4 linked regions of the Tamandua tetradactyla genome follow. The protein of the gene in region 1 interacts with the protein of each later gene in a pairwise test. Links are inferred from orthologs where the notes say so. Each region holds a gene or a part of one and is shown on either strand. Other genes may lie near its edges. The genes, in order: NUTM1, SH2D4A, MORN4 and ZNF277.

Region 1 (8,097 bases):
AAAAAAACAAACAGAAACACAAAACACCTTAATTACCTTGATTCATACTACACAAAAAATCTCAAGGCTACTTCTACTCAGAATTCGATCACACTATCCTAGAAAGTGCACCGCCAATAGCTGAAAAAATAATTTTGGGGGGAGGGGTGGAAATGATGCCAATCTTGTGTGACTTCGTTCCTTCAGAATGAAGAGCTACCTAGTTATCTCCCATGATCCAGGGCTGAGAATTCAGTGCCATGGTCTCAGAGCAGCAAGTGAAGCCTCCCTTCCCTTAACACCCAGGTTCTGGCTGAGGTAGTTGATCCTTTATCTGGTGAGTGTCCCGCAGTTCTAGTTGAGCAAAGTGCGTGCAGGCCCACCCTATCAGGCGAATACAGTATGGATCAGATTGCAAAAAAAGTGTACACCTGGCCACCTGTTGTGCATCAGGTGAATACCCCACAGGTTTGGCTGGGAGGAGGTGTGTGAAGAGCCACCCGATGTTTTTGAGGCCAATAATCCACTTGGGCCTGGTGGGAGAGGTGCGCATGCATAACGGGAAAAATATCCCACTACTGGATGGAGAAGAAAGAGAAGGGTGAGCAGCAGAGGGTGCAAGGCAGATCGGAATTCTGCCGCCGAGATGTCTGCGGGGGTGGCGAGCCCGCTCTTCTCCCGGCAGTAAAGGTCCCTGGGATCTGGGAGGAAAAGGCTAGCGGATCAAGACACCTCGGACTGCAGCTCGGGGTCTTGGCAGGTCGTTGTCAGTCCATCGAGCTCACGGTCTGCTTACTGATGATGTGTCTTGCGTGTGACAGGAGATGCTTCCTCCCCTATCAGGACCCCAGCGCAGGTCAGCCCCTCGCCGTCCTTCAGGTTCTAGCAGAAGAGGAGACTGCCACGCAGGCTGCCACCGGATGAGAAGGAGGGGGCGATCCGGCGTAGGGGAGTAGGAGGTCGCAGGTGCCGATCCCCGCGCCAGCTGATGCTGGTGCGCGCGCAGCTGTTGTTTACTAGCCGGTAACTGTTTCCGAGCCGCGGCGCGCGTGGGAGGGCTCCGGCAGCAGGGGAGGGTGCCCCCTCCCCAGTCAGACGCCAAAGCAGCCGTTACGTGACCTCGCCACCCCCAGCGCCCGGCCCGGCGGTCTGCAGCCTTGCCGCCGGAGCCCCTCCTTTCCCGCCCGACTCGTTCCTCATTCGAGGTTAACAGTCCGGAAAAAAAACCTGGGGGAAGGGTCGGAGGGCGGCACCGTCCTGCGCGCGCCCGGGAGCCCCGCCCAGCCTCTGCGGCCCGCGAGGTGACGGAGGACTGCGCGCATGCGCCCACCCTGGGCCCAGGCGAGCCGGGTGGGCGGAGGGGGCGGGGAGTAGGACCGAGCGTTTGAGGGTCCTGGGGTATCGCGGAAATTGGCAGTCGGATGTAGGGGCGGAAGCCTCGCGGGGTAGGACCGGGGTTGCAGTACTTGGAAGACATTTCAAAGAGGAGACCTCAAGGGCCATCTCTCTTTAATAAGAGTGTTTCTGAAAATACCATTCATAATCTCTGTAAGAATTATAACAATCCCCCCATTCCAAATATTTACGTATGACCCTTATGGGAATTTTATGTAGAATTCTATCCTAAAGCGTAGAGGCAGCAATTTTAGACGCACTGGATACTGCATGATTTTTCTTGTTTCCGTCTTTTGAAAAATAGTAGGCCCATTTTCTAGTCAGACTGAACGTTCCATTAAAGAACACTTTAGATAAATAATTTTAGACCTGGAAAAGACATTGAGATACTTTCTCTCTACTCCCAGTGCTCTCCCTATTACATTTACTGGCGATGGAGTTATTTTTTAGTGTGTATATTTAATGCATAAAGAGGTGTTCAATAAATGTTGACTAAATTTATTTGCTGTGCCTTTGATCAAGACATTTAACATTCTGGTCCCAGAAATTGGCCCTTGGCTTTCCCCGGGTCTTTGCTCCTCACAAGTGGAACTGTTTAAACCGCATCTTTAAAAATTGGTTCAGAACTGTAAAGACCCAAGCCAGGAAAACCCCTTTTCATCAAGTGGTACACAAAGTCCAAAGTCCATTTTAAAAGACCCAGGTAACAAAATGAGGAAAAAATGTGCAGCTCCTGAAGCCTGAACCTTTATAAAGCCTGTGGTACTTGATTCAGGTTCCTAGCTTTCTTACAGATACAGCAAGAAATCCATCTCCCCAAGGGATATTTTTAACTCAGGCAGGCCTGTTTTTCACTGGAAACCCACAGACTTTCCTTTGTTAAGAAATGCTGGATTTTACATCACCAATTTTTTTTTTATCACAGTGTACTTACATTTACTTATATATCCTACGTAATGCTAATATACTATAACTCTTAAGATTCCTCTCTTGTCTTTGAGCACTCATCAAGCTCTATAAGTTTATGTCCCAGGAGATGTTAATACCGAAGGAAAAAGTTCTCATTACTGCACAACAGTTTGCCTTTTCTCCTCTACTTCAACTAGGAACATTTCCAGCCCAGGGTCTAATTTCAGTCTATGTTGCAGGTTCCATGGGGAACAATGCTATTTTTTTTTTTTTAAGAAAAAAATCAGCATTGCAGTCAACATTAAAAAATAACAGTAGAGTTCATTTACCCACTCTTAAGAAAAAGAAACTTTTAGCATCAGGCCCTTTTTCTTGTTACTCGTATAACTTTAAATATTTCACCAATCATTACTCTCTTAATAGGTTAGGATAACTCCTTAACATCCTTTCTACCCAATGTTAAGAACTTTTTGAAAGTGACTAGGCTAAAATAAAAAAAAAATTAATTGCTCAAAAGGAAACTATCTCATTTCAACATTTTTGTAAGTTTAAGTAATTAATTTAAAAATCATCTTTCTCCGTTGATTATGATCCAAGTCCAGAGACTTCCTTCTTTCTCAGCAGTCAACAACTGTCCTCAACTTTTCTGCTAGGATGGTCAGACAACATGGGCCAAGCGAAATGTTATCTATCCCTTTCCATTGTAGTCTTTATAAATGACATTTGTGCTGATTTGAGTTACTTCTGCTAATTTTGACAAAGTAGGAAAAGATTGCTGAATTAGAATATGTTCTCCAAAAAGCAATTTTTAAACCAATGGCACTGAGCAGGCACATTCAAATCCAACGTCAAAAGCCAAGTAACACAACTGAGAAATAGGGGTTGATTAACTTGACAATGAGAGGAAGAAGCAACCTAGCATTTCTTGAGTGCCTGGATACAGTATTTTTCTGCACCCTCTTAATATGAAGTAATTGGATTGAAAGTCATTTATTATTGCTCCATGATAGAAGCTCAGGTCCTAAAAGATTTCAAGTTCTTTCTTGAACCTCTCATACCTCACCTCATCTCCTAAATTAAAGTTCATGAAGAGTTCCACATAGTAGCTGCCAGAAAGAATGCAAAATTAGGTTTGTGTAAAAAGAGAATTGATTAGAGACCTAAAGTTCTGGGAATATTTCCAGAGAGAAAATATGCATGTGGGCACTACTATTCATAAAGTTTGGACAAACACTACAGATATACTGAAAAGAAAGACTCACTAAATCCTCTCAATTTTAGAGCTGGAAGAGAACGTTGAAATGATGTGAAAAATAGCACCAAATTCTTCAAGTTGCACAAATAGGGGAAAACCTTCATCTCCTGACTTCCAATCCACTGGCCTTCCTCTACAATATGGTTGCTATTCTTTTTCAATAAACTCTTCCATTTTGAGTCAAAATGTCATTGCTAGGGGGCACAAGGAATGACAACATGGGTATTTTTCAGTGAATATAGACAGTTGTGAAGGTCTTTCTCAACCTTTCTTCCCCTTTCCCGACGCACTCCGATCAACAACAGCACATCACTACTCGCTGCTACAGCAGCGACTGAGTTTTTCTTACAAGTGATCTTATTGCCATGCTCTGGGACATTTCCCCCTTCATCTCCCTCGTTTTTTTTGTTTACCAACTCTTTTCTCCCACAACACACAAAATGAGAGCTCTTTTAAATCATTCTGTCTTTAATAACCCAACAGTAGTTCACAAAATGAAAAGATTCAAACTTGTTTCCTTTATAGGAGATGCTAACATGATTGCCTCACACAAGCATGATCAAAGGCAATGCGACTAGATTCCAAAGACCAAGGGTGGTAATAAAACAGGGCTTCAAGATTCACAGACTGAAGAGCTTATTTAAAGAAAGACTCCGAGGGGTAGCAGGAGACCGAAGAGACATGAAATATGAGGGACCCTCAGAGGACAGGGCGCGGTTGCTGGGTCATGAGCACCTTGAAGCGTTTCTTGATGGTGATTCGGTGTCGCGAGTATTTGTCGTCTGGGGAGAAGCGGGCAGGATGGGCTGAGCAGGTCTGTTGTCCCATTGGGTCAAGCTTCTGCTCGAGAAGGGAAGAGAAAACACGATCTCAGCACCGGAGTGAGGGGCAAACTCAATTACTGGCGTCATAAGGTTGACTGAGGCTGGAATAGGGGGTGCGGGTGGGAACGCGATAAGGCGCAAGCAAAGGGTTAGGAGACGCGACGGTCTGTTCAAGAAGCGGCACAACCCTGCGTCTACACGCCTCGGTTCCGGCATTTCTGGATCTCCAAACCTAGCCGGTCTCGTCCGCCCGCCGCCGCCCCCTGCCCCCCATTTCTCGCAGTATCCTCTCCTCACCTTCAGCGTATAGACCCGGTCTCCCTGCTCATTGAGGTAAAAGTGGAGAAACATGACCACGCTTCAAGCAGAGACACCACTTCCGTCCGCACGCTTATCTGCGCCTCTGCCTGTCCCACCACCTCACGTGCTCACAACGTCCTTCCGGTATAGCCGGAAGTCTGTCTCAAGCCATGACGGGAATTGTAGTCCATTTTTGGCATTTTCTTCAGCTGACCAGAAGGGGGCGCTCTATCGCAGGATTTGGCCTGGGGGCCTGCAGTTGTAACCTTACATGCCTTGATGCGTGGAGTGTACCCACTGTGTGCCAGGCACTGCTAGGCGTTAGATGGGGGTGGGAGTGAACGTGGGTTGAACATTAATGAATAGAATTCTGTCTTTGTTTTACGATGCCCACCCATTTGAGGGGCGGTGGGTGTCTAACACCAGGAGAGAAAAGGACTCTGGGATTCAGTACCCCTTTACCTTAAAATAATTTTTCCCCCTCCCCGCTTTTGCATCCGGTTCCCCGCCCCTTTTCAAACTATTGGCGGTAAAGAGTGCATGATGGGTATTCAATATTCTGCACAGCGGAGAGAGCGTGAAGTTATTTTATGAAACTGGTGAAGTATGTTTTAGTGGTCGAACCAGGATTCAAACTCAGGTCTCTTTCCCGCATTTTCAGCGCTTTTTCTTATAGTGGTGAGTAACTAATGATAGCATAAAAGAAACACTTCTAGTGGCATTTTGAATTTTAAAGGAACGTAGAAATTTTCTTTATGGGGCTGTAGCTTAAACAAATGAAATTAGAACCAAGATAGCATTACAAAAATGATTATTGCAGCAATATCTATAATGCAAAAACACTGAAACATATTATTAATTTATAACCACAAAAACCTGAGAGCTTTAAAAAAAAAAAAAGAATATAGCTTGCATTTGCACAAAATGCCTCGGCAAGGGTCCATAAGAAAAAGGTAATATTGGTTTCCTCTGGGATGAAGAACTCTGTTACAGGAAGAAAACTTGTTGCTGTATATTCTGTTTTGCAGTTTGACTTTTGAACCATGCTAATGTATTTACCTATTTAGCCAGGAGTAAATAAACAAAGGGCTTCCCTGAAGTCCTCATTTTATGTCATCTTACTGATTCCCTGTTTTCTGGAAACAACCCTGAGTTGTCTCTTAGAAGCTGGGAGGCTGAATTTTTTAATCTTGAGCCAGCACGGTTGTTCAAGGTTCGCATGGAACCATTTATTTAAAACAATTCAATTAAAATTATTTTTTTTAATTAAGTATTTAACAACAAGAAAATAATTTAACAAACAAAAAGAAGAACTTTCTGGTCTAGAACTTTTAGGCTACATGGCAGTTTTTTTATGTGGTGGGGCTTTTCGGCAGAAGGGATGACTGGTAAGGCTGGCCTGATGTGGACTGCCAAGCTTATGGTAGTAGACCATTTGAGGGCTGCAGGACAACTTTGCGAGTAAGTGATAGGCATATAGCAATCAACTATCCTGGATCTTCTGAGACAATCTGAATTTCAAATATTCAGTCGCCTTGATTCAGTATGCAGACTATGTGGTCTGAACTTCGTTTAGAAAATACAGCCATCATTGAATTAAGTCAAGGGTCTACCAACAACCTGTTATTAAGAGGAAGTCAGTTACTCTTGAACTGGGTGGGGCTGAAGAGGCAAAACTAGATATATTGGTGAAGAATTGAAGTAAATAGAGGTAAAACTGTTGTGTTGGGAATTTGAGAAAGTATTTTCAAATTGCCCTAAAGAGGTACATGCCAATTGTGCTGCCAAACCCTAGTTTGTTACCAAACTCAGTTAGTGCCTATTTTTCAGAGTCCTTCGTGGAATATTCCCCTCATCCGTACCCCCTATTCCAAGCCTCCCCTCCCCCACTGCAGAATGCCTTGAGTCCTAGATTCTAGTTCTATTTTGATTCGATCTTTACCTTCCCTTTCTTGGATCCCTGGTACCTTCTAAGCCAGCTTATTCTCTGGGTCCTGGAGGCTTCCAGACAGCCACAGTTGGTGCCCAAATCTGAGAGGATAGCTTCAGATGGAGGTAAGTCAGTGGGTGTCAGATAGGGAGGGTTCCTGCCACCTACTCTCCTGCCACCTACTCAGACCCTTGGGGATTCCCATTTGACACTTTTGTCTGACAGCAAGCTCTTTGGGCTGGCCTAGAGGGAGGAGACCTGTGGACCCCACCAAAGGCATCACACCTGGGGGAGGCTGGGGAGGGAGACTGAACAATTCAGACTGGAGTTTGGGGAAGGAAGAGGGCTCCTTAGGGGTAGATTAGGACACCTCAGAGGAAGTAGGCTAGGTAGAGAAAGGCTGGCAATTAGGAACTGGATTCTCTAGGAGGGGGACCACATCAATGTGTGTTTGTGCAGCAGGGGCAGAGGTATGTGGTGGGAGGGGCCCAGAAGGGTTTCAAGGGGAAGGCCCAAGTTCTTAAGTCTTTTTCTTTAGGTGCCTGCTCTAGCATTTTGCCCTGAGAGAACTGAGATGAGGTCACTCTTCATCTTATAAAGGGAAGAGGGAGAGAAGATAGGGTTGGGGGATGATTTTAGTCAAAAAAACAGTTCAGTGTCTCATCTGTTGCCAAGCCTGCAGGGAAACATTTTCCTGAAAGCTAGGCTGGAAAGTACTCTAACTGCCAGGGCTCAGAGCTTCACAGCAACTTCCAGCCCCAGAGATGGCTTTTCTTTCTGTATAGCAGTTTTCCTTGATTCATCAGGGCCCAGGGAGGTGGTGGTTAACTCCAACTGGGAAGAAAGCTTTGATTTTATGTTTTGTGGGACTCAGGCCTTCAGACCAATTTCATTTTGTTCAGTACTTTCGGCCATACTTGTGGCCTTCTGCGCTGCTGTTGAGATGACTAATTTGCTTATATTCCATGTCTCCTTCAAGGCCAGGAAGTAGAAGCTGAGTGTTGTCAGTTTGCCAGAGGAATGCTCTTTATAAGAGCAGGGTGGGGTGGGGGGATTAGTATGAATTTAGGCAGATTATCTTCTATTATTGTTATTTAAAGTCCTAGGAGACACGTCCTAATTAATTAAGCACCTTTTGTTTATCCTTAGTCCCCTTAACTAGAATCCACACAAGCAACTCGTGAGCAAGAATTGTGTTCCAGACTTCAATTATCCTTCTCTAAGCAACCAGCTCACAGTCTTGTTCTGAGTGACTCCTAAATTTCTGGTTTTAGGATTTCAAAGCAGAAGGACTGCAAGGCAGTCTGCAGCGCCAAATTTTTAACACGTCTGGCAGCTCTGGAAACCTCCCTACATCTCCCACCCTTCACCCATTTCCTGGTACTTATCTAATCTTCTGTAGTCATTCCTGGCTATTATATAACAGAATTTCTGGGAACCAAACATCTAATCCACACACTTGGTCCTGGGGACAGGGCTTCTGTGAGTTGTGGCAGTGACTACAG
Region 2 (7,109 bases), on another chromosome or scaffold:
ACCTCACACTCACTGCGGAACAAGCATTTAACTTACTTCCTTGAGTTAAGACTTTAAAAAGTGGGATTTCTGACCTTGACAGCAAAAATGATATTGGTGCATATCCTATTTTCCTTTATAAAGGATAAATGTGAAGAGAACCTTCATTTTCAGTAGAACTTAAACCCAAATTGACCTTTAATTTATAAGAGCTGAAGAGCTGCTTCTCTAATCTTTCTGGCAGCATCAGAGCTGCTGTTTTGTACAACTCCAGGGGGTGCCTCACATATCAGAGTCTCTACGTGTGGTCCCTCTAGTGACCCAGTGCCGGACAAGACAGCCCTGGGCGGCATGGTTCCCAAACAACATTCTAAAAGGAACGCCCAGAAACATGACAACTAAAATTTGTCATGGTGTCCATTACTACAGGTAATTGACAAAAAATATTTAGTGTATAGTAAACAATATTTTTAGCTTTTCTCTTTGAGCACCAGTAGTAGATAGAGGAAGTACTCCCACACACTTGTGTGGTGACACCCATCTATACATCTCTGCACTGCCAGTACTGCCCAGTCTTCAGGAGAGGCTCAGTGCCTGTCCCCTGCCCAGGCCCTGGGTGCCCAGACCCCACACGGTATGAGTGTGGCTGGCACGTGAACCCCTCATCCTTCCCCACTCCTGTGACTTTGCATCCAAGATCATTGGGTGGGGAACTGTTTTCTCCAGAGAGCCACTAGTCCAAAGTGAGTGGAAAAGTAACTAACAGCCACACCAGGAAATAAAAAGGCAATTCGCTTTCTTTTGGAGTAATATAAAACAACCTTATTGCCTGCTTTTGGAATTATATTTTAAAGTATTTTTTGATTCCAGATTATGTCAATTAAAAGAGGGAATACTAGGAGATGGCAGAGGAGACTGGGAAACAAAGTAAAGATGATGGAAAAAAAATATGGACATAAAAGACGAGGAAAGAGTTAAATATAGGAAAGGCACATAACATGGATGAAAAGGGGACAATGAGAGAAAAGGAACAAGAGACTAGGCTCCAAATGATTGCTCTGTTTCTGTACAGTCTGCATTCATTAACACACAGTTATATGCACAGCAATCATTCATTGAACACCTACTCTGTGCTTGGGCATGGGTAGATTCAAACTTCCATAGGACATGGTCCCTGCCATCAAGAGGTTTGATTTCAAAGGGCATAAAGCATACACATAGCTAACTTTGCATGACAGCGCTGCATTGCAGATGGAGCAGGGACCCTGCCTGTCTACTTTTCTAGATCCCAGTCACAACAGAGCCTGGTACCCAGTAGGTGTTCACTAAATGTTTCTTGGATGTATGAAATGCTAAACTATGATACAAGTGTTATAACCCTATGGGAGAGGGAAGGACCATTTCGGGCTGGATTTGGGATAGTCAGGAAAGATTTCCTAAAAATTAGAGTTTGAAGGGCAGGTGGAGTTTTCATAAGCAAAGTTGTGAGGCAAGACATTTTAGACAGAGGGCACAGTGTGAAGCTGTGGGATCTGTGTAGGTTTAGGGTCTGGAAAATGCCAGGTTATCTGAATGTAGGGTTTATATTAGGAAGGCGATAAAGCTTAGGGAGATTAATGTCAGATTGTCTTGGTGCTTCAAAGTTTGTAAGCAGTTTAATTTTAATTCTTTGGGAAAGAGATGGATCAGAGTTAACATTTGAAAAGGTTGATTTGATAACTGCATTCACAAATTTCTGACCTGAAGAACCTAAAGCACAGTTCCTGAATGCATAATCTGCCGCTCCATTTTAAGCCCAACCACCCAGAGTGCTGCTCAGAATGCAGATGTTGGGGCCCCACAAATGTATATTTCCTAGGTCTTGAGGTCCAGGATCTGCATTTAAATAAGCTGCCCACATAATTTTTCCTGTACACTAAAGCTAGGTAAAACTGGCTTAGAAACTAGAGGTGTATTAGTTATCTATGCTGTGTAACAAATTATCCCAAACTTAGCGTCATAATACAATAAATAATTATCTGAAAAAAAATTATCTCACAGCTTGTAGGTCAAGAATTGGACAGTGGATTGTTAAGTGGTTCGAGCTCAGGGTCTCTCATGAATTTGCAATCAAGCCGTGAGCTGATGCTACAGTCACCTGAAAGCTGGACTGGGACTGCAAGAGCCTCTTCCAAAGGCTGTAGGCAGGAGTCTTCAGTCCCTCTCCACGTGGACCTCCCCAGAGGGTTGTTCATGAGATGGCAGCTGGCTTCCCACAGAGCAATGCTGAGAGAGTCATTTATAATCTATGTCAGAAGTGACATATCATCACTTCTGCCATGTTCTATTGCTCACCACAGACCAACGCTGGTACAATGTGGGCAGAAACTATAGGAGGTAGAGATCTTCTGGCTAATTTGGAGCCTGGCTACCAAAAGAGGCAAAACCCATAGCCTAAGTGTGAGGCGATAGGAACTTGAAATTATACTATGTAGTACGGAATAAAATGAATTACATGTATTATTTCAATTAATGCTCATAACAACTCAATGAGAAAAGTACTGCAATTATTCAATGGGGAAATCGAGGCACAGATTTGTTATGACAAAGGGAGTTATTACACAGATGGACTTCTCTGGATGCCTAGGGAGATTAATGTGTGGAGGAAGGGAATTGGCTGTTACCGATGTCCTATGGAATTTATCCTGGCTAATGAAGTCCGTTAACCGTTCAATACATCAAGTTTTAGGATTTATTTTCAGACGGCCACAACAGCTAACCAGGGGCAACTCACATTTCAACCTAAAGCACTCCACAGGTCATTCATTTAATAAGCAATGGGAACCAGATCTTAGACCAGAAATTCTCCCCAGACAGGATCCCTGGAATGGCCTGTTAAATAGTTGGGTCCTGTTTGCTGACTTTACCCAGGATTTGATCTCTGCCCCAAGCTCTTCTAACTTCTGCAGTCTGGAGAGGCTGGGAATTAGAAAGTTATTTTTAAATCCTGCAAATCTGGCTCATGAATATATCTGGTAGGCTGTGTAGACCAGCACCTGAGAACACTCCCTGTTTATTACATCTCTTCCCAGCACAGAGGCAAGCTGAGGTTCGTCAAAGCAGGCTGTTTTCTCCACACATTTTGAATGCTGCTCTACAATGGAAAATGCCTTCCAAACTTTCCATTCTGCTTTTGCTGAACTTTCCTCCGAGGTTTCCTCTTTTGTAGTCAGTCAGCACCTCCCTAATATTCTCATGAGCCACCCTAACCTGTTCTTGCTGAGAGTCAAAAGACTTCATGACCTTCTTTCTTTTCTCCAGTTTTGTTTCATTTCAACTCCCTTTGTCTTTTTTCAGCGTTCCTCCTTTTGCTTTGTCCTCCTTGAGCTTTTCCTACTCAACCACACCTATAATTACAAGTGCCCAAGAGTTTGATCACTTACTTAATGTCAACAACAACACAAGTAAGTTCCGGAGCTGCGGGAGCAGAATGCAAGAGGGTGAGCCGACTGGGCCGGTGGGACCGGGCCAGCGTACCTGAAGCCTCCAACCCCCCCCCACCCCCAACTTGCCAAAACTGCGTTCTGCAGTGGCCAGACCTGCCAACATTAATAAGTTCCGAAGGACCCAGAGAGATGCAAGACGTCACAGACTGCAGATGTCATTCCCCAATTAACTAAGAGTGGAGAGTGGAGAGTGGAGGGGGAGGTGGCCCTGTCGCCCGCCATCCCTCGCCCCGCCCCCCGGCCCCGCTCCCAAGGACCAAAGAACCTCGGGGTCAGCGCGCCGGACAAGCCGGCCTGAGATGCAGCGGGCAGCCAAGCCTGCCCGGCACTGGTGCCTCTCCAGGCGCCCGGGTGGGGCCGCGAGCGCCCAGTCAGGCCCCGGGCATGCGGGCCGCGGGTGGGGCGGGGCGGGCGGGCGGGTCAGGGCTGAGGGACGCCGTTTGCCAACAAGTTGGCCTGAGTGTTTGTCCAGCCAGTCTGTGCCGCTCGCAGGCGCCTCAGCCTCCTTCTCCCTTGCTTCCCCAACAATTTCTGGCGGCCCAACTGGACCGGGCTGGTGCTCGGGTCACCCAGCCCAGGCAAGCTCCGGGCTCTAAACAGGTAAAGGCTGGGGTGGGGTTAAGAGAAGGGTGTGTGGGGCTGGGTGGGGGTGTCCCCCGGGGGGAAGAGTGGTAGGTGCAGGGGACTGCAGGGAGGCGGGGCGGCAGAGGGAGGGCCGGCCTGGCGAGGCCTCGGTCCCGGGCGCCGCGCGCCCCTCCCCTTGCCCAGCTCCCCCTTCCCCTCCCCCGCTCCCGCCCCGTCCCGCCCCGTCCCGCCCCGGGCAGGCTCAGGTGTGGGGTTGAGCCGGGCGAGCGCGGCCGCGACGGGCTACCGGTGTCCGATGTCGGGTGTCCGATGTCTGGAGCAGGCGGCTGGGTGAGCGGCGCCCCGGAGGCCCGGGGACTTGTGGTCCTGGGGAGCAGCTGGAGAGGGAGGCCTTCGGGGGAAGCTCTGGGGATCCCCGCGGGGATATGCGCGCCCGCGGAGTTGGGGCGGCCTTGGGGTTGGCTGCGTAGGAGGGTCTTGTGCTCTGCAGCTTCCAGGCACACTTCTGGGGCGTCAGCCGGGCCTCCGCCACCTCCGCCAGCCCCTGCGCGCTCCGGGACGCCCGCGCGCTTCAGCCCGCCGACTTGGCGGCGCCCACCCCCACGGCCGTGCGGGCCAGTCGCACCCGCATCCTCCGTGTGGGTAGTACCGGGTGGACTTCCTTCCCAAGGAGCTGTTCTAGAAAAGTCCCGGGGAGGCGGTTTTAGCCCGCGCCGCACCCCCGCTGTGGCCTCCCCGCGCGCCCGCACGCAGGTGCGCCTCCACGTGGGGTGGGGCGAGACGCGCCCCGGCGCTGCGGGTCCCCGCGGCCGCCGCCCTCGGGTCGCGGAGCTCAGCCGGACCGCGCGGGAGGCAGACCCAGGCTGTGGCCCCGGTGTACTCCACGGTGACCTTCCTCACCTAAGTGGGCACCCTGCCCGCAGGACTCACGCGGGCGCCGGAATGGGGGTGGGAGACGCAATGAGCAGTCAGAATCTGTAAGTTAGCTCAGGGTTGTCTGTCCCTGCCAGGAGAAGAAGCAAGCGCTGCGCCTCTTTCCAAACTGAGATTCTCTTCATCTCACAAAAGGCTTTTATTTGATTTAGGAGAAACAACGGCTTGTTTAACAGAAACAACGACTTGGACGAATATGATCATTTGTAAAAAGTGAATAAAAAATGAAAGATATAATGTGGGCACTGATTTGGCATGACTGGAATTCGTTCCATAAATCTTGTGTTACAGTAAATTTAAATTTCTGAAGAATGGTGAATGTTTATAAAACAACTTACCAAATTACTGTCACCTCTGGTAATTAGTTTTGTTCTCAGAATGAGTCCTTTCGCAGGATAGAGAAGTGACGATTGTCTTCAAAGAATTAGAGTTCAAAACTATATTCTTAACATGAAAGTTTTACTGTCCATGTCACAGTATTTATTTGAAGTACCTCGGTCCCTTTGGGTGGGGGGAGCTCAGTTATTAAAATTAAAAAAAATTAAAGAACAGTGGCTGTGGAAGGGGGGGCATTGTGGAGAACTAAAAGGATCCTGTGTCTCCTTAGAAGTTGGTTTTGGGGATAAATTGCAGGGTTGGATTTGCTGCTTATTCTTTTTCTTGAGCAAAATGCTATACCAGAAGAAAACCAAGTTAATTAACTAAACTTTAAATGTTTTGGATCTTGACTAGCTGGAAGTTGCTGCACTAAATGTCTTAGGGATTAGATAACTTTGGTTAAATAACTTTGAATCAGTATCAGCAATGATTGTTGTGGGGAGTGAAAGTAGGAAAACCCCTGCTGAGTTAATTTCCTCATTTCCATTTTCTCTACCCTGGCTCCACTTGTCTCCATAGCTTCAAACTATATTATATCACGGAGTCTACAAATTGTGTAGGTCCACAGCATGAACTGGCTGTCATTTCACAGATGAGAAAACCGAGGCCCCCGGAAATGAAGCGTGGGCTCAGTCACACCGTTCATTAGAGGCGGAGCCGGGTCCCAGGCCCTTGCTTGTTGTCCTTATCAGCACACTGTGCCCTGGTTATTTTCCTTCCGGGCAGCATGAACACCTGGGGGAGAAAGCGTGAATCTCTACAGGTGAACCAGCAGCAGCAGAGGCATGCAATACCGTTCAGCAGCCTGAAGCCACATATTTGATCAGCTGCGTCCCCAGGTATTCTCTGAGGACCTGATAAAACCAGTGTCTTTCCTTTAAGATCTGCTGGTTAACTTCAATGCCAGAAGTGCGTGCTTGGTACAGAGCTTCGTAAAAAAGCTTGAGCCTTTCATCACAGCAGTGGGGTAGGACCCATCCCATGCGTGAGACGCCTACTGTGTGCTGCCCTTGACGGCGTGTGGGATGGGGAAATGCGGAAATTCTCTGTGCCTGTGACAAAGCTGGCAGATGGTATGCACGCCTGGGCCAGCATGACAGTTCCTGTCCTTTCTGGGGAAGGGTGATTTCAATACTGGCTACCTCTGCAAGCGTATGTATGACCTGTCACGATGAGGCTTTGCGCTCTGAGTCCTGTGCCTTCATTCAGTTTAGCATTTCTATTGCTGCAGGAGTTTCTGGTCTTTGTTCTGAAATTCAGACGTGCTGCCCCGTGGTGAGGTTTTGATTCGGGGCTCACAAACTCACAAAGAGGCCTCTGTGTCGTAGAGTACACTAGAGCAGACTCTCCGCTTTCCAGCCTCTGTGCCCCATCTCCTTCTGTGAAATGGAGGGATTGATGGACCTGACTCTAAGGGTTATTGTGAAGATTAAATGAGTTGATGCATGAAAAGTGCTTAAGACAGTACCTGTCCAGGTAAATGTGAGCTCTTACTGGTCTTAGGGGACAGGAGGGAGAATGTGGATTTGGCACTTCGAGGCTTTTCATTTTTAGTCTTGACCCACCCCGTCACTGTTGCTATATATTTGCCCCATTCAAAATGGGGAACAAACTTGAAACCTCAGGCCTCACTGAACTGCTCCTTTTCTGCCATGTTTGCCGTGTGAGTCCATCATTAGTCACAGTGTGCCAACATAAGGACGTTTACTGGAATGCCAAGGACGCAATGACTTAGGTTTCTTACCACTT
Region 3 (7,472 bases), on another chromosome or scaffold:
CAAACTCTTTGAGCATTTGTTTGTCTGTGAAAATTTTAACCTCTCCCTCAGTTTTGAAGGACAATTTGGCTAGGTACAGAATTCTTCGCTGGAAGTCTTTCTTTTTCAGGATCTTAATATATCATACCACTACCTTCTGACCTCCATAGTGCTAGCTAAGTAGAGCTCAGTTTTATGTGGTTTCCCTTGTATGTAGTAGATTGTTTTTCTCTTGCAGCTTTCAGGGTTTTCTGTTTCTCATCAACATTTGACAGACTGATTAGTATGTGCCTTTGGGAAGGTCTATTTGGATTTATTCTATTTGGAATTCATTGGGCTTCTCTGATTTGCATAATTATGTTCTTTATAAGGAAGGGTTGAGAAGTTTTTCCTCAGTATATCCTCAACTAACCTTCCTAGCCCTTTAGTCTTCTCTTCTTCTTCTGAGACACCAATGATTCTTCTATTTGTGTGGTTTGTTTTGTTCAATCACTGCCCTGAGATCCAATTCATTTTTTCCATCATTTTTGCCACTTGATCTTTTATGTGTTCAAAATCAATTGTCCTGTCCTCTAGTTCACTTATTCTTTCTTCTGCTTCTTCAACTCTGCTGTTGTTTGTTTCTAGTATATTTTTGATGTGGTCTACAACATCTTTAATCTCTGTGATATCTGCTATTTTTCTCTTTATTCTTTCAAATTCCTCTTTATGCTCTTCTAGTGTCTTTTTGACCTTCTTTATGTCATTAGCCATCCCATTAATTTTATTTAGTAGAGCTATATGAACATCTTTGAGTAGTTGTTCCAAAGTCTGTGTCTCCTTTGGTGTTTTAATTTGGTCATTAGGTTGGGCTGTATGTCTGCATCTTGATATGTTTAGTGATCTTCTGTTGCCTTCGAGGCATGTCAATATCTTAATAAGTGACTTTGGAAGTTGATTTCCTTTGGTAGTCTAAAGCTTTGTATTTGTGGGATGTATGCGGAGCAGGATGCAGGGATGTGGTGAGGGCACAACAGCGCTGTGATGGGTTGCAGCTCAGTATAGGCCCAGGTTGGGGACTGGTGCCTGTGAGCATTGGGTGCTGGGCAGGGGTTTGGGTAGTGGGGTGCAGGGGCCTTGGGAATGGGGTGCAGCTCAGGTAGACCTTGGAGCGCAGGGGCAGGATGTGGTGCGGGAGACACAGGGGTGGGGTGTGGCAGGAGACAGATTGGGGGTGCTGTGCAGATGCACTGGGGCTGGTGCACAAACAGGATGTGGGTGGGGATGTGGAGGCCGGGATCCTGAGTATCAGGATGTAGGGTAGGTGGCACAGAGGTCATTGTTCAGGGAGAGGGGTCCAGGGGGGCCGGGATGCAGATTTGGAGTGTGTAGGGGCGGGGCACAGATCGCTGGGGTTGCAGGTCGTGGATCAGCAGCCGGTGATATCGTGGACTGGGCCCTGGGGCCGGAGCGCAGATGTGGCGGTTGGAGCAGGGGTGCACTGAAATCTCCTTTTCACTTTCTCTTTCCTAGGCTAAATGCTGACAATTTTTCCTCCTCCCCTTTTAACAAAAAGTTTTTAAAAATCCCTGCTCTCGTGCCACTTAGTCCACTTGGTCTGATTTCTCCATGCTTATTTGTTAACTGAAGAAAGATACCGTTCCAGAGACGGTAAACGTAAGGTCAGAGGCCGCTACTGTTTTATTCACCCCTGTAACCTCAGTGTCTGCAGACAGTAGGTGCTCAGTGAAAGAAAGGAAGGAGGATACAGGCCGTGACCTCAAGCTAAGGCCACAGCCTCTGGGGCAGTTGGAGAAACAGAATCAACATTTTTTTTCTATTATAAGAGTTCACCCATTGGGGGCTGCAGCCAGAGAGTCAGCGAAGGCCTTAAGTGGGGCATGTGCTATTCACTGAATCTTGAAAGAAGAATGTAATTAAATCACTGGAAAAGATTGAGGAAAGAGGGCACACCAAGCATGAGTGAGTAACCCGAGGATCAAAAGAGGAAGGTTAAAGGATATAGAGAAGAGAGTAACCTGCTTGATTCAAGGGGAAACAAGGCTGGGCTGGATTACCAAGGGCCTGGAAAGCCATGAAGAGAAGGCATCTGTTAGGTGAACAGCTGCGGAGAGCTTTAGAGAACAGTTCTTCACCAGGCAAGTGATCTGGGGTGGACCAACTCCAGACCCAGGCACCAATAAGTAACTCTGGAATAAGTAAGGGTGGCATCTTTGAAGACGGATGCATAGTTGGAGTAATTGCTTGTTTAAATCCATGGACTATTGTTATGGTTAAAATTTATACTAACATTACCTCCTAAAGTTTAGAATGTAATGGCTATGAGCATGGGCTTGGAAATCAGACAAATCCTAGCTCTACACTGACTACTTTGGACAAGTTACTTAACTGCTCTAAGCCTCAGTTTTATCCTCTAAAAAAAAAAAAAGGAGTGATATTGCTACCTCACTTGTTTAAAAAGGATCAAGATAATATATGAAAAGCAGATAGCATAGTTCTTGGTACATAAAAAACACCAAAAAAAAAAAAAAAGAGTAGCATTTTTCACTGCTGAAGTTATTGTTGATATCATTTTGTTTTATGCTTAAAGTAACCAGTAGACTAGAGGTATGGGTTTTCACAGAAGACAACTAGCTATGCAGTCACCAATACTTCATAACCATTCTTTCTTGAATCAAAGTATTGCTACAGCTCACTAGAAGTTGGAAAACTGTTATTTATTTGTACATATGATAATATTTTAAACCTTTTTTTGCCAAATAAGCCATTCTAGGCAAAGGTCCATACAAGGGATTCCATTTCCCTTTTCAATTACAAGACATAATACTTTCATTTCCTACCCAGATATCAAATAATCAAGAGATGTCTGTTTCTTGTGTCCCAGGGTCCAAAGTCACATTGATGCTTTCTTGGTATCTTTCATATTATTTAGCCCCTGAGCTTCAAATTATGGTCAAGGAAAAGTTCCAACATTTAGGGTTCTCCCTTGAATTCTAAGGTTTTTCTCACTAGAAAACCCTGAGAATTTTTATCTGCATCTATACTTTAGAATTTGATTTTCCTTTTACTAAAAAGAATGAAAATACATTCCCGATTACATATGCAGAGCTAGTACTTACTGAATGGTGTGCATGTGCCAGACATGTTCTATGTGCATGATAGATTAACTCATTTAACCACCATAAGAGCCCCTGTGATGTTGAAAATTGATACCTCAAGAGGTAAAGCAACTTGCCTGTGGTGACACAATTGATAAATGGCTGGACCCAAATTCAGGTCAGACTGAATCCAAGAATTTAACACTGTAGTTGCTTCTTTATTAAACATCACTATGAAATGTCTTGTATTCACTCCCTTTCTTTCCCTCTTCACTGATGCCATATTAGTTTTGACATCTCAGGATGCCATAACTACATTACTTCAATAGCTTCCGAGTTTGCTTCTCTGCCTCCAGTCTCTTTCTCTCTGATCATCTCTGGGTATCACCTCCATAGTAATTTTTTTAAAACACCAGTTTCATTATGTCATTCCTCTGATCAAAATATATATTTTAGAAACCATGTCTTCTCCCTAATTTTCAGATGCCTCCATAATTTGGCCTCACTCAACTTACTTACCCTTATGTCCTCATATTTTCTAATGTACATTCTCCAATCTAATAAGATCCATTTCCTTGACAGTACTCTCAACTACTGCAATTATATTTAAGATCAATACCACACAATTTAGCAAGCTTAACGATTGAGTGTTAAAGCTGGATTGAAGTTTATAAATCTGCTAATCCAATCTAATTTTACAGGCTGCAAAGCTTAATAACTTGCTTGAAATCACACACAGTTGGTAGCAGAGCTGGGATTTGAACACAGTATCCAAAATCTTTTTTTTTAAGTTTTTAATCTACTATTTATTGAATATTGGCTGTCTCAGACATAGTACTGAGCATTTTACATTGCATTTTCATACTAGTCCTAGAGAGCCTTTATTGTAATTAGTATCAATTTCCGTTCTACAGATGAAGAAATCTCAATTTAGAAAAGCAGTTTGCCTACTCCTTTCATGTGCTTGACTTCTCTTAATTATTAAATGCAGTCTTTGATTTTTCCATGTGCAGGAGTCTTTTCTTCTACATATTCAGGCAGTAAATCCATGAGCACGGCGATCATGTCTCTTCTAGTCTGACAGAACCTAACACCTTGCTGTACTCATACCTTCAGTAAATAAATATGTAGATTAAGGGATTGATGTGTATGATATTGGAGAGGGTTTGTTCCAGTCTTGGCATACAAATGGTCTGGGTAATAACAGTGACAACAAAAATCCCTATAACAAATGCAAAGGTGTTCTTATATCACAATGCCTGGTATAGGGTTGAGACCCGTTAAACAGCAGTTATCCTACCCAGTGCTTTACAATTTACAAAGCTGCACTTCTAAAACCCGATATAGGTTCTGTCTTTAAACTCCCGGGCCAGACCTTTTAGGATCGGAGCCACATGAGTTGGTGTTCACTGTTGCTACTGACCCAGATTTTGTTTTGTTTGGGGTTAACATCTCGGCTAGGCTGTCCGTGGATAGACGTGAACTGGATACCTGGGTCACGGCGGCGCATCCGCGTGTTCAGCCCCACCCCTCATTCATATAGTTGGCCCAGACTCTCGGAACACTCCGCCCCGCACAAAGATGGCGCAGAAGCCGGCTGGCCCAATGGAGAGTGGCGTTGCTCCTGGTTGCCTAGGTAACAGCCAATGGGAAGCGGGAATTGTGCCCAGTGCGGCTGCCTGGGATGGCGGCGTCAAGTAGGGAAGGGGGTGGTAGAGGTTGTGGAAACCAAGGTGTTTGGGCAGAACCCGGCGGAGCTAAGGTCCCGGCCGCTGAAGCCCGGAGCCGGGGCCTGATAGTCGTCCCGAAAGGTGGGGCCCAAGTGGGCTGGCAGCGCGGGTGGGAAGGGACCGGGAGGATGGGCTTAGGTGGTCCGAGCAGGAAAGGAAGAGTCTGGGGAGCGGGGCTCCATCCCGTTCGCGCTCTGGAGGCCGGCTGCGCGTGGGGGTCCCAAATCCGGACCTCCCTCCTCGACTGCTGGGGCCGAGGCCCTGGAGCGCCCACGGCACCCAGGTGAGCTAGCGGGGAGTGTGAGGGCGTTGTCGAGAAGGAGTGGCAGACCTGTGAGAGCAGAGGGCCCGGCCGGGATGGGAGAGCAGAGATGGGGAAAAGGAGTGGGGCTCGAATGCAAAAAAATGGTGGAAGAAGGAATGGGGAGGTCGACAAGGAAGTGCCGTCACGTTAAGTCTAAGGCTTTGTCTGCGCCACTGCCCGCCTCTGTCACACCTGGGTGGAGAGACATCCCTCCTGTGGAGGAATGAGATACCGGAATGCCTCAGTTAGTTGATGGGTGGTCTCCCGGCAGTCTAGCATCTCCAGACTGCTTGGGGACCAGCGGGAGTAATTCTTTTATTAGAACGGTCTCCTCTCCCAAAAATTAGAATAGTATTTTGGGAGTGTTACTCATTCTCCAGTTCCCTCCCTCCTCGCTTCTCTCCCTCTCCCTCTTCCCCTCTCCCCTTCAGTCTTTTTTTTTTTTTTTTTCCTGGTGCCAGGATTTTCTTCGCACTTTCTTCAGTCTAACCGGCCCACAGTTTTCCTGAATAAGATCTTTAAATAGTAATGATACATTCGTTTACATTTCAAATGGGGGAAGGGGGAGTTACACTTATAATAAAGTTAATTCAAGCTTATTTAAAAACATTTGAAAAGGAACATTTGAGTCTTTGTTCTAGGTTCCTTAGAAGCATAATACTTACTCATCAAAGCCTTCATGTTCTTCTCTTTAGGATTCTCAAAACTCAAGAATTGCTCTCTTTCATAACTGAAAGGGGAACTTTGACCAGACAGTCCTAAGTTGTGTGGGGAGGGTGGCGTTAGAGGGACAGTATGTACGCATGTGTGAATAGTTAAGGTGGGACTGCTTCCGAACAATATTCTTTGACTGAAAGTCTGTTCCCCTTTAAGGTGTTTGTTTTTTAATTCTCTCAGTTTGGATATAGGTTACTGTGAGGGCATACATTTTGTTTAAGTTTTATTTCTAAAAAAATTTTTTAAAAGACACAAATAGAAGGGAAACGGAAGTTCTCTTTATTGTCTCAGAGTCCTACTTGTAAATGTATGGGGCAGGAGAAAATGAAGCTAGCAGGGATGTAGTCTGTGGTGCGGACTAATAGTGTATTGTTACTGGTTTATAAAGAAAAAATAGTAATTTTCTTTTAGGTAAATGTTTGGACTGATGCTTTGCAGCCCATCATGGAGGGCAGAAGGGGTGGGTGTCTATTTAGAAGTGCTGAATCATCTTGGCTTTGTAACTAGATTCCATTTGTATATTTGCAGCCTAAATCTCTAGGCCATCTACTCTCTTTAAAAAGATTATTTGATGGGTGCACGGGTGGTTCAGTAGTAGACTCACCTTTCATGCACAAGACCCGTGTTTGATTCCCAGACCATGCACCGCCTCCCCCCGCCAAAAAAAAATGTTTATTTGAATAACTGATACAAATACTGATTTGCATCCCTTGCTGAAGTATTGATTTTTCAGTCTCCAACAACTGGCTATATTTTATTAAATTTGATTTGTCTCAATGACCGTGGTTATTGGTGAAATTCCTTTTTGTGTCAGTGCTTGTGCAGCTCACTATTAATTAGCATGATCAATTACAGAAGTCATAAATGAAAATCTCGATACTGTCCCAGGCAGTGACAATATCAACTATTTGGACAGATGTAGTAGTTTCTAGCAAATGTGTCCAACTGAGGCCCAAAGCCCTTGGATCCTATACATGTTCCTTTAATTAGCACTTCTGATTGTTTTGGGGGAATGGACATCATTTGGACAAGCAGGTGCTGAGGGGAATTTACTATAACTTCCTAGATCAAAAAAGAATGGAAGTTTGAAGTATGGATTCTTGAAAACAAACAGGAGAGGACATTGTCAGGGTTAGGTTGAAAGATGGTATTCCAGTTACTATTGCTACATAAAAAATTACCCTAAAAGTTAGCAGTTTAAAACAGTTATTTTATGATGTTCATGGATTCTTTGGGTCAGGAGTTCAGACAAGGCACCGCACCGTGAGTGTGCCCTCTCTACTCCACTAACATCTGGGCCCTCAGCTGGGAAGACTGAATTTAAGGTTGCTGTAATCATCTGAATGCTCCTTCACTCACAGCTGGCACCTGGACTGGGATTCTGCCAGTTGGAGAATTGCCAGTTGGAGCACAGACAGGTGGTTTTTCTATGTAGATTAGCTTCCTCACAGCTTAGAGGCCTCAGACTTCTTATTTGGTGACTCAGGTCTCTAAGCAGGTGTGTACCTGTGAGCAGGATGAAAGTTGCATCACTTTTTATGATGTAACCTCAGAGCACACCCTTACTTCCCCTGTTCTATTGGTTGAAGCAGTCACCAGCCTAGATTCAACGGGAGGGGCCTTAGACTCCACCTTTGGATGGGG
Region 4 (7,595 bases), on another chromosome or scaffold:
CTAAGAGGAAAGGTCCACTCCCTCCTAATTCTCTCCCACACAGCGACCGTAACAGAGCCCTTCTGAAAGGAAGGCCACTCGGAAGAGCTTGCATAAATAAGAGAAGGTGCCACTTTCCCTAAAATAGGGGAAGCTTTCAAAAGGAACATGATTCCTATCTGGATAAATTTTAAAAAAAACACTTCAAGAGATATGGAGGACAGAAACATCTGTGAGGTCTTAGTAATACTAGTATTATAATAATTCATTCCCAAAATGACACCTGTGATCTTCAAATCAGCTTGTTCTGAGTTTTGTTTCTAGGAAGGCTCATGGATATTTTTTGCACTGATCAATCCAGTCCATATTTTTCTGGCCAAGCTCAACCCAGCTCATGCATGTAAATCACCTGGCTGGGTTTGAGAGCTATAGTCTTAGGAAGACGCACTGGCTCACCTGGAAACACTGTGCATAAATGACTGTTGAACAAATTAATGGAGAAATGTATCTGCAATTCTCTTAACTTTCCCTGTGAATAACTGCCACCACTTTAGAGGGGAGGGGAGGCTGACAGATGAGGGAGTGCAGAAGACAGATATGATCGTGAGTAAATTTGTGAGGGGGAGATGGAAAGCTTTAGTCACTGTCCATGGAGCTCCTGCTGGAGAAAGGGAATTAAACAGATTGAGAAAGTAAGCAAGTAGCACCTCATATCTGGCAGCTTGCCAGGCATCTTTTGCTTACCTGTGATCTCTGTTTAAAGCCATGTGGCATACATAAACCGCAAAAGTGTCTCTCTCATAGCAACCTCTAAACAATGGAGATGTTTTCCCTTCCAAAGGACACATTTGGTTGGAAAAGCTCCACAGAACTAGCATTGGGAAGAACCTTAGATATTATTTGATACAGAGGCTGGTACCCAGAGAGGTTAAGTGACCTACGTAACATCACCCAGCTAGCAGAAGTGTCTGGATTAGGATCAAGAGCTAACCAGAATCTCCCAAGATATAAAATATGCCTATGATTGTGCCTACTAACATGTTTTTAAAGGAATAAAGTTCCCTATTCCTCAGGTTTGCAGCTTTATCACTACAACTAATTCCCTTGAACTAGAAGGCTTAGGTATATGCTTGAGTATACATCGTTTTAAGGTAATTCACTGATTAAATAGAAGAGATGCGCCCACGCATTAGATGGTTACCATCTTTATCTCTGATACATCTCACTACAGGTATAAAATTTAATAACTTTTATCCATGTTTATAGTATGTTGCTTGAAATTAAAGCGTAAGCATATAAAGACACAATTATTCCATATATACACGGTGATAAATAAGTGTCATTGCAGAAATAAGTGATTTATACTGAAACCTTAGGTACTCCAAGTTACAAAGGCTGATTGATTTCAAAAAATGAGGAAACTGAATTACTACTACACCTGATATTAGCCAAACACGTGACCATAAAGTATTTTTTTTTAGTGTGTATGAGGATTAGTTGAGAAAAGCACATACACTAATCAAGGTTAAAAAAAAAACCAAAAAACCTTACAGCATAGGCAGCTACAAATAGTGCTCTCCATGGTGAGAAATAGTCCACACATAAGTATCCTAACAAAATTTTTACAACACACACATACACACACACACAAAAGTCTAAGAGATGGATTCTAAAAAACTGTTTCACACTCCACAAGCCAAATGCACAAAAATTAATCAAAGATGATTTGCATTCCTATATGTGTAATATTGTATAAATGAGCACAGCAGCAATAATTCTGGGCAGAATACCCCTCTCTGTTCTCACCTTTTACTCAACCTCCTTTTCCCAAATGCGTACAGACCCTTCCACCTCACCACACACACACACACACACACACACACACACACACACACACACTCCGCGATCAAATCACACCAAGCCAAAACCAAGGTGTCTGCTGCAGCCCAAAACACTGACTGATAATATCCGGTTTGCCATTCCAGGAAATCCCAGAGTGATTTTTAAGCCTCTGCCCACAGCTTGTAAAGAAAGGGGAGAGAAAAAACTAATCGATACCAGAACCCCAGCTGTGACCTGGCACATAAAGAAATCAAGAAAATAAATCCCATTCATAATCTGTATAATTTAACACTTGGAAGAAAGCAACATCTGGGATTGATTCCAAGCGAGACAGAGTTGCCTGGATGGGTCTGCACTTCCTGCACTGAGTGTTAAATCCAGCAGGGAGGCGATGCCCTCCGGTTATTCACCAGTGCACCAAAGGCAGTCTTTTCCCTATCGTGGGTTGATCTACCCAAAAAAGAGGAGAGTGAAGATAAGGAAAACAAAATCACCCAGCATCTCCTCCTTGACAGTTAAGTGCCTGGCAAAGGCTTTGCTCAGACTTTTACAAGAGTGAAAACTGAAAGCCGTTCTGAAAGGTGGGTCCAGGACAAACTATTGTCTTGCTCACAAGTCAAGATCCAGAGAAGGTAACGTAAAATATGGGTTGCCTCTGTTTAATCCTACAGTCCTTCCAGTGGACTCCAAAGTCCTGTCTCCAGGAGAAGTTGAAAACAAATCCCTTGTGACTATGATTCTCAGGAAAGGCTTTCCAGATCTTTTTAATTGCAGGAAAATTAATTTAAAGTGTAAGCAGATATCTGTACGTGTCTGAACCCTCCCCCCCCAAAAAAGTACACCAATGGGCAGTTCAGGGCATTATAGGAATAGAGTGTTAGTAAGATCCATAATGCTTTTTCTCTCTTAGACCTTCTGGGAGGTTATAATTGCATTTGGTCGCTGCAGGATTGTCAGAGAGCCTGGCTTCTTAATAGTCACAAACCTAAAAGGAGTAACCGTCCAGGGACAACACAGCTGAAATCAAACAACAAAAATGGGAATTGTAATCGGTCTGAAACGGGAGGAGGGAAAGGAAGGGAGACTCCTGTATTCATCAGTCAACATTAATGTCCTTTGTTGTTCACCTTTGCACACAACAGCGAGCGCTACCCTATTCATTTTTCTCCGAATGCCTCCGTCAAGATAGTGCTTTCCTAAAAGCTGGCTCCCTGCCTCGAAGACCCAGGCTTGCAGATCCCCCTCACCAACATCACTCCACAGCCACCCTCACCCCCAGCCACAAGGGAAGCCAGAAGTAAAAAAACACTTCTGAAATACCCGTTCCTTGCCTAAAACAAGAGAGCCAAGCGGTGCAGATGTTGAAATTTACCAATCCCCCGACCTCCAACACACACACCCCGTAAACCCTGTATGGGAGGGAAGGACAAGGCTCGCACTAGGCTCGGTCTGTCAGAGCGGCTCTTTTCGAGGACTGTGCCACATTACGCACTCCGGGAATGTTGATCCGAGCCAGAGGAAAGGTTCTGCGCCTCCCTTCTGTTTGGGAGATGTTCTCTGAGCGCGGTTGTTGTTGTCTCCATCCCCACCCTGAGAAATCGCTGCAGCCCACTGCCGTCTCCCGCAGCTCTGAGGAAGAGGGAGAAGGGAGAGGAACGCCGTTCACCCTCCTCTTCCAACTTGACACACGCACACACACGCACGCACACACACACACGCGCGCACACACACACCGTCACCACTCCAAACTCCGCAGGCAGAGAGGCCGGAGCGGGCGGGCTGGATCGCACACTCCGCCAGCCGTCCCGGCGCTCCAGGAGACCCAGCCGGGTGAGACCCGGGCAGGCGACGCGGCGCGCACCTCTCTGCCCCGGGCTGGCTCGGCAAAGCCCTGGGCAGCATTAGGCATTTCCAGCCGAGCTGAGTGAGAGGGGCGCGGGGGCAAGGACACGAAATGCGCACCCGCTCCAGCCAGAGCAGAATAAAAGTTCGCTCCGCGGAGACTCACCCACGCCGTATTTCTCGTGCTCCGTAGGTATCCACATGGCTAAAAGGGACTCCGCGGTCTTCAGGCTTTGTAATCCACGCACCCCTTCTCCGGCTCACAACAATGCACAACACCGGAGTCGCGGCTGCAGCCTGGAGCTCAGCGGCTCCGCGGGGCTGCGGGCGCTGGGCAGGGTCTGCGCTGAAGGATCCTGATCCTGGCGTTGACACCGCGCGGCGGAGACTGCGCCGCCCGCCCCTCTCCCGGCGGTGGTTGCTCACAGTCCTCCGAGGCGCTCCCGAGGACCCGGCGGCGCAGTCATTGTTCTGATTCACTGAACTAACACGCCGGGGCACTCTCGGGTGCACCCCCGCCCGCCCGCGCCTCTTCCAGCCCTGCCTTCCCAGCGCCTCCACAGCACGCCGGGAATTGTAGTTCCCGGCCTTTATCCCGGGAAGGGGCGTGGCATTAGCGGCAAGGGGCGGGAATAAGGGTCCGCTTGCCGTGTCCTTTTGGCCAGGAGCGTGACGGCGCGGCGTGGGCGTGGAGAAAACGCTGCACTGATAGGAAGTTCGCCTGGAGCCGCGTTTCCATTGGTGCTTGTCTGCCCCATTCTCGCCCTGCGACCGTCCCCTTTCTCTTGAGCCGCGTAATGGCTGCATTTAAGACCCCGGGGGCTGCTGTCAAAGGGGAGGAGGACCGTAGTGGTTTCTGCGGCAGAGCTAGAGTTTTTCGTGATGAGGGTGAGTTCTTGCCCCTGCGGTGTAGGGGACTTTCCTTCCTTTCCCCCGCTAGGAGAGCAGCCGGCCGCTGGGCTGAGCCCCGGAGCACGCCGGCTCTGCGGCCACCTGGGCGCGAGGGGGAACACGGGCGGGAGCAGGCTGGAGTTAGGGGCGGCTACCTCGCAGAGGCGATCCTGAGAGGGCGGAGAAAATTAGGTGAAATCGCCTTCCCCACAGCCAGGGAATCTCCCTGGGCTTCTCCCTTCCGCTTTCAAGCGCCAGGCTTTACGCTCACTGCTGAATGGGTGTGGGTCAGGTGAGCGCGTGTGATTATAACCTTGGCATTAGCAAACACCTCTTTTTCCTTGCTTTTCCTCACCAGTCCCCCGCCTCCGCTTAGGTTTGCTTGATTTGTCTCGGAAGATGTATTTTATCTGGTTTTCGGAGGTTTTCAGGTCGCAAGGTGGTCACTGCTCTCTACAGATTTGCCCGGCTACTGGCTGGAGCGGCCCCTGAAGGGTAACTGTGCGTGTCTCACAGCCTCCCCTAGCCGCTCATTGATTGCTGTCGGTGTTCTCCAGAATTGGAGCCCGGAAGATCCTCCTGTGCAGGGTCCTTAGAGAAAGAGGAAAGAGAATGGTCACTTGTACTCTTGATTTCAGAGAAATGAAAGGAGTGATGAACAGTCATCACAGCACCTTTGACTTTGCTTGACTTTCAAGTGGTGATCTGTTCTGTTTTTCACCGTAAAAGTCACAGACCAAAACTTTGTCTTTAGGAATCCCAGCTTTATTCATTTATCCTTTAGTCTGTCCCCTCCAATTCTCTGCTTTTGTTTTTGGGTCGTAATTTAGCACAGTAAGTTGTCTTTTTTCTGATGGATAAGTTCCGGGGCTTGAATTTGGTTTTCGGTTCCTACTCGGGTTTTTGTTTCCTTCTCTCAATTTTTTTTTGCTTTCACCGTTAAGCCGACATTCAGTCTCAAGTTTTTATCTCAGCCCACAGAAATATGTGCAGTTTCTTCCCACTTTCCCATCAGTGGAACGCTCTACCTGTAAAATTAATTCATTTCAATTCCTCTGTCAAAGATGTAAATCTTTGGTAGGCTCCTGAATTAAATTTTATCAACACACTAAACAGTTAATTATTGTGTTCCCTTGATACTTGTTTTGGTTGGCCATACATTTGACTAACTCTTATCTGATAATGGACTGTAAGGTTTTCCAGATTTTGGAAATTTTTCCAGAGAGCTACTAGTTTAAGATCTGAAGATGAAATATTTGGTGAATTTATCTCACAAATTAACTGATAACTAAGAAAATTGGGCATGCTTTTCAAAAGCATTGTAAACATTTAAAAATCATTGGTTATTTTTAAGTGATAAAAGTTTCATTATAAATATTTAAAACATTCAGAGGTGTATAAAGTGAAACCTGAAAGTTCCTCCTCCACCTAGCCCCACTCTCTAAGTTCTAAGGGTTTCTAGCATACTCCTGTATAACACACATTTATATGGTTTTGATTTTTTTTTTATCAGAAATCATTCTGTGTAAACTTAAAGATCTGTACCCTTCTTTCTCTCAGTGGTCTGTCATGGTCAGTCTTCGGTATTAGTACATTTGCTGCTTTATTCTTCTTGAAGATGTGTCCATTGTATTCCATAAAATGGATGTGCCACACTTTAACCATTTATCTATTAGTGAACATTTAGGTTGACTTTAGTTTTGTAGTAATATTTCGGTGAAGAGCTTTATATACATATTCTTGCCCACTGATTGTGTATTTCTTGAGGAGGAACCGCTAGGGCAGTTGCTTTAAAATTTTTTATATATGCCAGATTTTCCTCTTAAAATGTATCGGCACACATTCCCACCAGTGCCATAGAATATAAGAGTGGCCTACCTCCCCCTGGCCTTACCAACTTTGAGGAAAACATTAATTCAGGACCAGTGCTTCAGTAATGGTTGGATTGAATTGAGTAACCGATAGAAAGCTTCATTTTAGGGCCCAATTTGTTTTCAAAAGAACTGAGCAGCTCTATTTTCTCTTATTTATAGCTGTCAGTGGGAGAGTTTAATGGTTGGCTTATATGTTAGCAGGAAAAGTTGTAATTGAATATCCCCCTTCATATAATCAATGTATCATTCTATGACTTTATCCAACTATTTTCAGTGCTTGTTAGGTGATACAAATTTAAGATGAAGGTAACAATATAAAAGCATATTCGTATTTTTTGTTAAACAACTGCTTAAATTAGCCTGTCTTTGTAAAATCGGAGGCTATCTTGATTTCTAGAAAACTGTCTTTTGAGAGGTTTCCCTTCAGTTCTAATTAAAATGTCAATCTGTGTGCTTAATATCCTGGGACAGAGGGCACAGTGGAGTCAATTTACAGAAATTCTTGCAGTTCTACTTGATCTCTGCTGTAAGGAGCTCCTGAATGGTAGGCAGGCAGGTACAGCACCTTCCTGAGAGCACTGTGTTGCCAAGCTTTCTACAGCTCCAACCCTCTCCAGGAAAGTCCCTAAACTGATTAGATCTCAGTTCAAGTCTTTCACAACACTGCTTTCCTTTCCATGTATGAACAGTAACTAGGATTTCGTACTGGCCTCTGAAATTAAGAACAGATAGTAAATAAACTCAACATCTCTTACACTGTGTCGGGGGAAGGGTTTGTTCTTTTGCTGTTTTGAGTTAGATGTCAGTAAAATGACACATCCGTGGTTTATTAATTGACAGTGCCTTTAGGAGGTTTTGTGATTGAGATGATTTCTCCTGACAATATTCACCTCTTTCTCCAAATTATAATATGCTGACAGAGTCAACTTTTTTCTGTCCAAATGCGTGCCCAGTAGATCATGATAATGTTAATTGGGATTTATAGTTCTTTTCCTCTGAAGACCTTATTAGCTCATTTGTAATGTCTCAAAGAAATGGAAGATAGCAGGTATTGTCAACTTATTCTTGCATTCCCTGTTTCACTCAATGGCATCAAATCCAACCTCAAAACCTAGGAAACAGCCTTGATTCCTATCTTGCGCCGGGGTCCTGAGTTTAATCCAATAC

Evidence for each region.
Region 2: the proteins of NUTM1 (region 1) and SH2D4A interact in binary tests that used the Homo sapiens proteins (3 or more experiments, as listed by UniProt). The two-hybrid records come from large-scale screens. The link is inferred for Tamandua tetradactyla from reciprocal best matches to the Homo sapiens genes NUTM1 and SH2D4A.
Region 3: the proteins of NUTM1 (region 1) and MORN4 interact in binary tests that used the Homo sapiens proteins (3 or more experiments, as listed by UniProt). The two-hybrid records come from large-scale screens. The link is inferred for Tamandua tetradactyla from reciprocal best matches to the Homo sapiens genes NUTM1 and MORN4.
Region 4: the proteins of NUTM1 (region 1) and ZNF277 interact in a two-hybrid assay, tested with the Homo sapiens proteins (2 studies listed by BioGRID). The two-hybrid records come from large-scale screens. The link is inferred for Tamandua tetradactyla from reciprocal best matches to the Homo sapiens genes NUTM1 and ZNF277.

What each region holds. Positions count from the first base shown.
Region 1 is NC_135340.1:45,697,957-45,706,053, reverse strand, and holds the start of NUTM1 (NUT family member 1), read left to right. Parts: upstream 1-4,987; coding exon 4,988-5,005; intron 5,006-5,277; coding exon 5,278-5,340; intron 5,341-6,641; coding exon 6,642-6,717; intron 6,718-8,097. Other genes in the region: NOP10 (H/ACA ribonucleoprotein complex subunit 3), read right to left, coding at 4,238-4,378, 4,660-4,713. UniProt on the Homo sapiens protein: Plays a role in the regulation of proliferation. Regulates TERT expression by modulating SP1 binding to TERT promoter binding sites.
Region 2 is NC_135329.1:19,295,751-19,302,859, reverse strand, and holds the start of SH2D4A (SH2 domain-containing protein 4A), read left to right. Parts: upstream 1-3,913; 5' UTR 3,914-4,064; intron 4,065-4,271; exon of another isoform or gene 4,272-4,379; intron 4,380-6,086; exon of another isoform or gene 6,087-6,199; intron 6,200-7,109. UniProt on the Homo sapiens protein: Inhibits estrogen-induced cell proliferation by competing with PLCG for binding to ESR1, blocking the effect of estrogen on PLCG and repressing estrogen-induced proliferation. May play a role in T-cell development and function.
Region 3 is NC_135339.1:58,901,544-58,909,015, reverse strand, and holds the start of MORN4 (MORN repeat-containing protein 4), read left to right. Parts: upstream 1-4,401; 5' UTR 4,402-4,658; coding exon of another isoform or gene 4,659-4,713; intron 4,714-4,734; exon of another isoform or gene 4,735-5,090; intron 5,091-7,472. UniProt on the Homo sapiens protein: Plays a role in promoting axonal degeneration following neuronal injury by toxic insult or trauma.
Region 4 is NC_135327.1:151,535,198-151,542,792, forward strand, and holds the start of ZNF277 (zinc finger protein 277), read left to right. Parts: upstream 1-4,447; 5' UTR 4,448-4,460; coding exon of another isoform or gene 4,461-4,545; coding exon 4,546-4,551; intron 4,552-7,595. Other genes in the region: DOCK4 (dedicator of cytokinesis protein 4), read right to left, coding at 3,830-3,866. UniProt on the Homo sapiens protein: Probable transcription factor. Involved in modulation of cellular senescence; represses transcription of the tumor suppressor gene INK4A/ARF, perhaps acting via the Polycomb group (PcG) complex PRC1.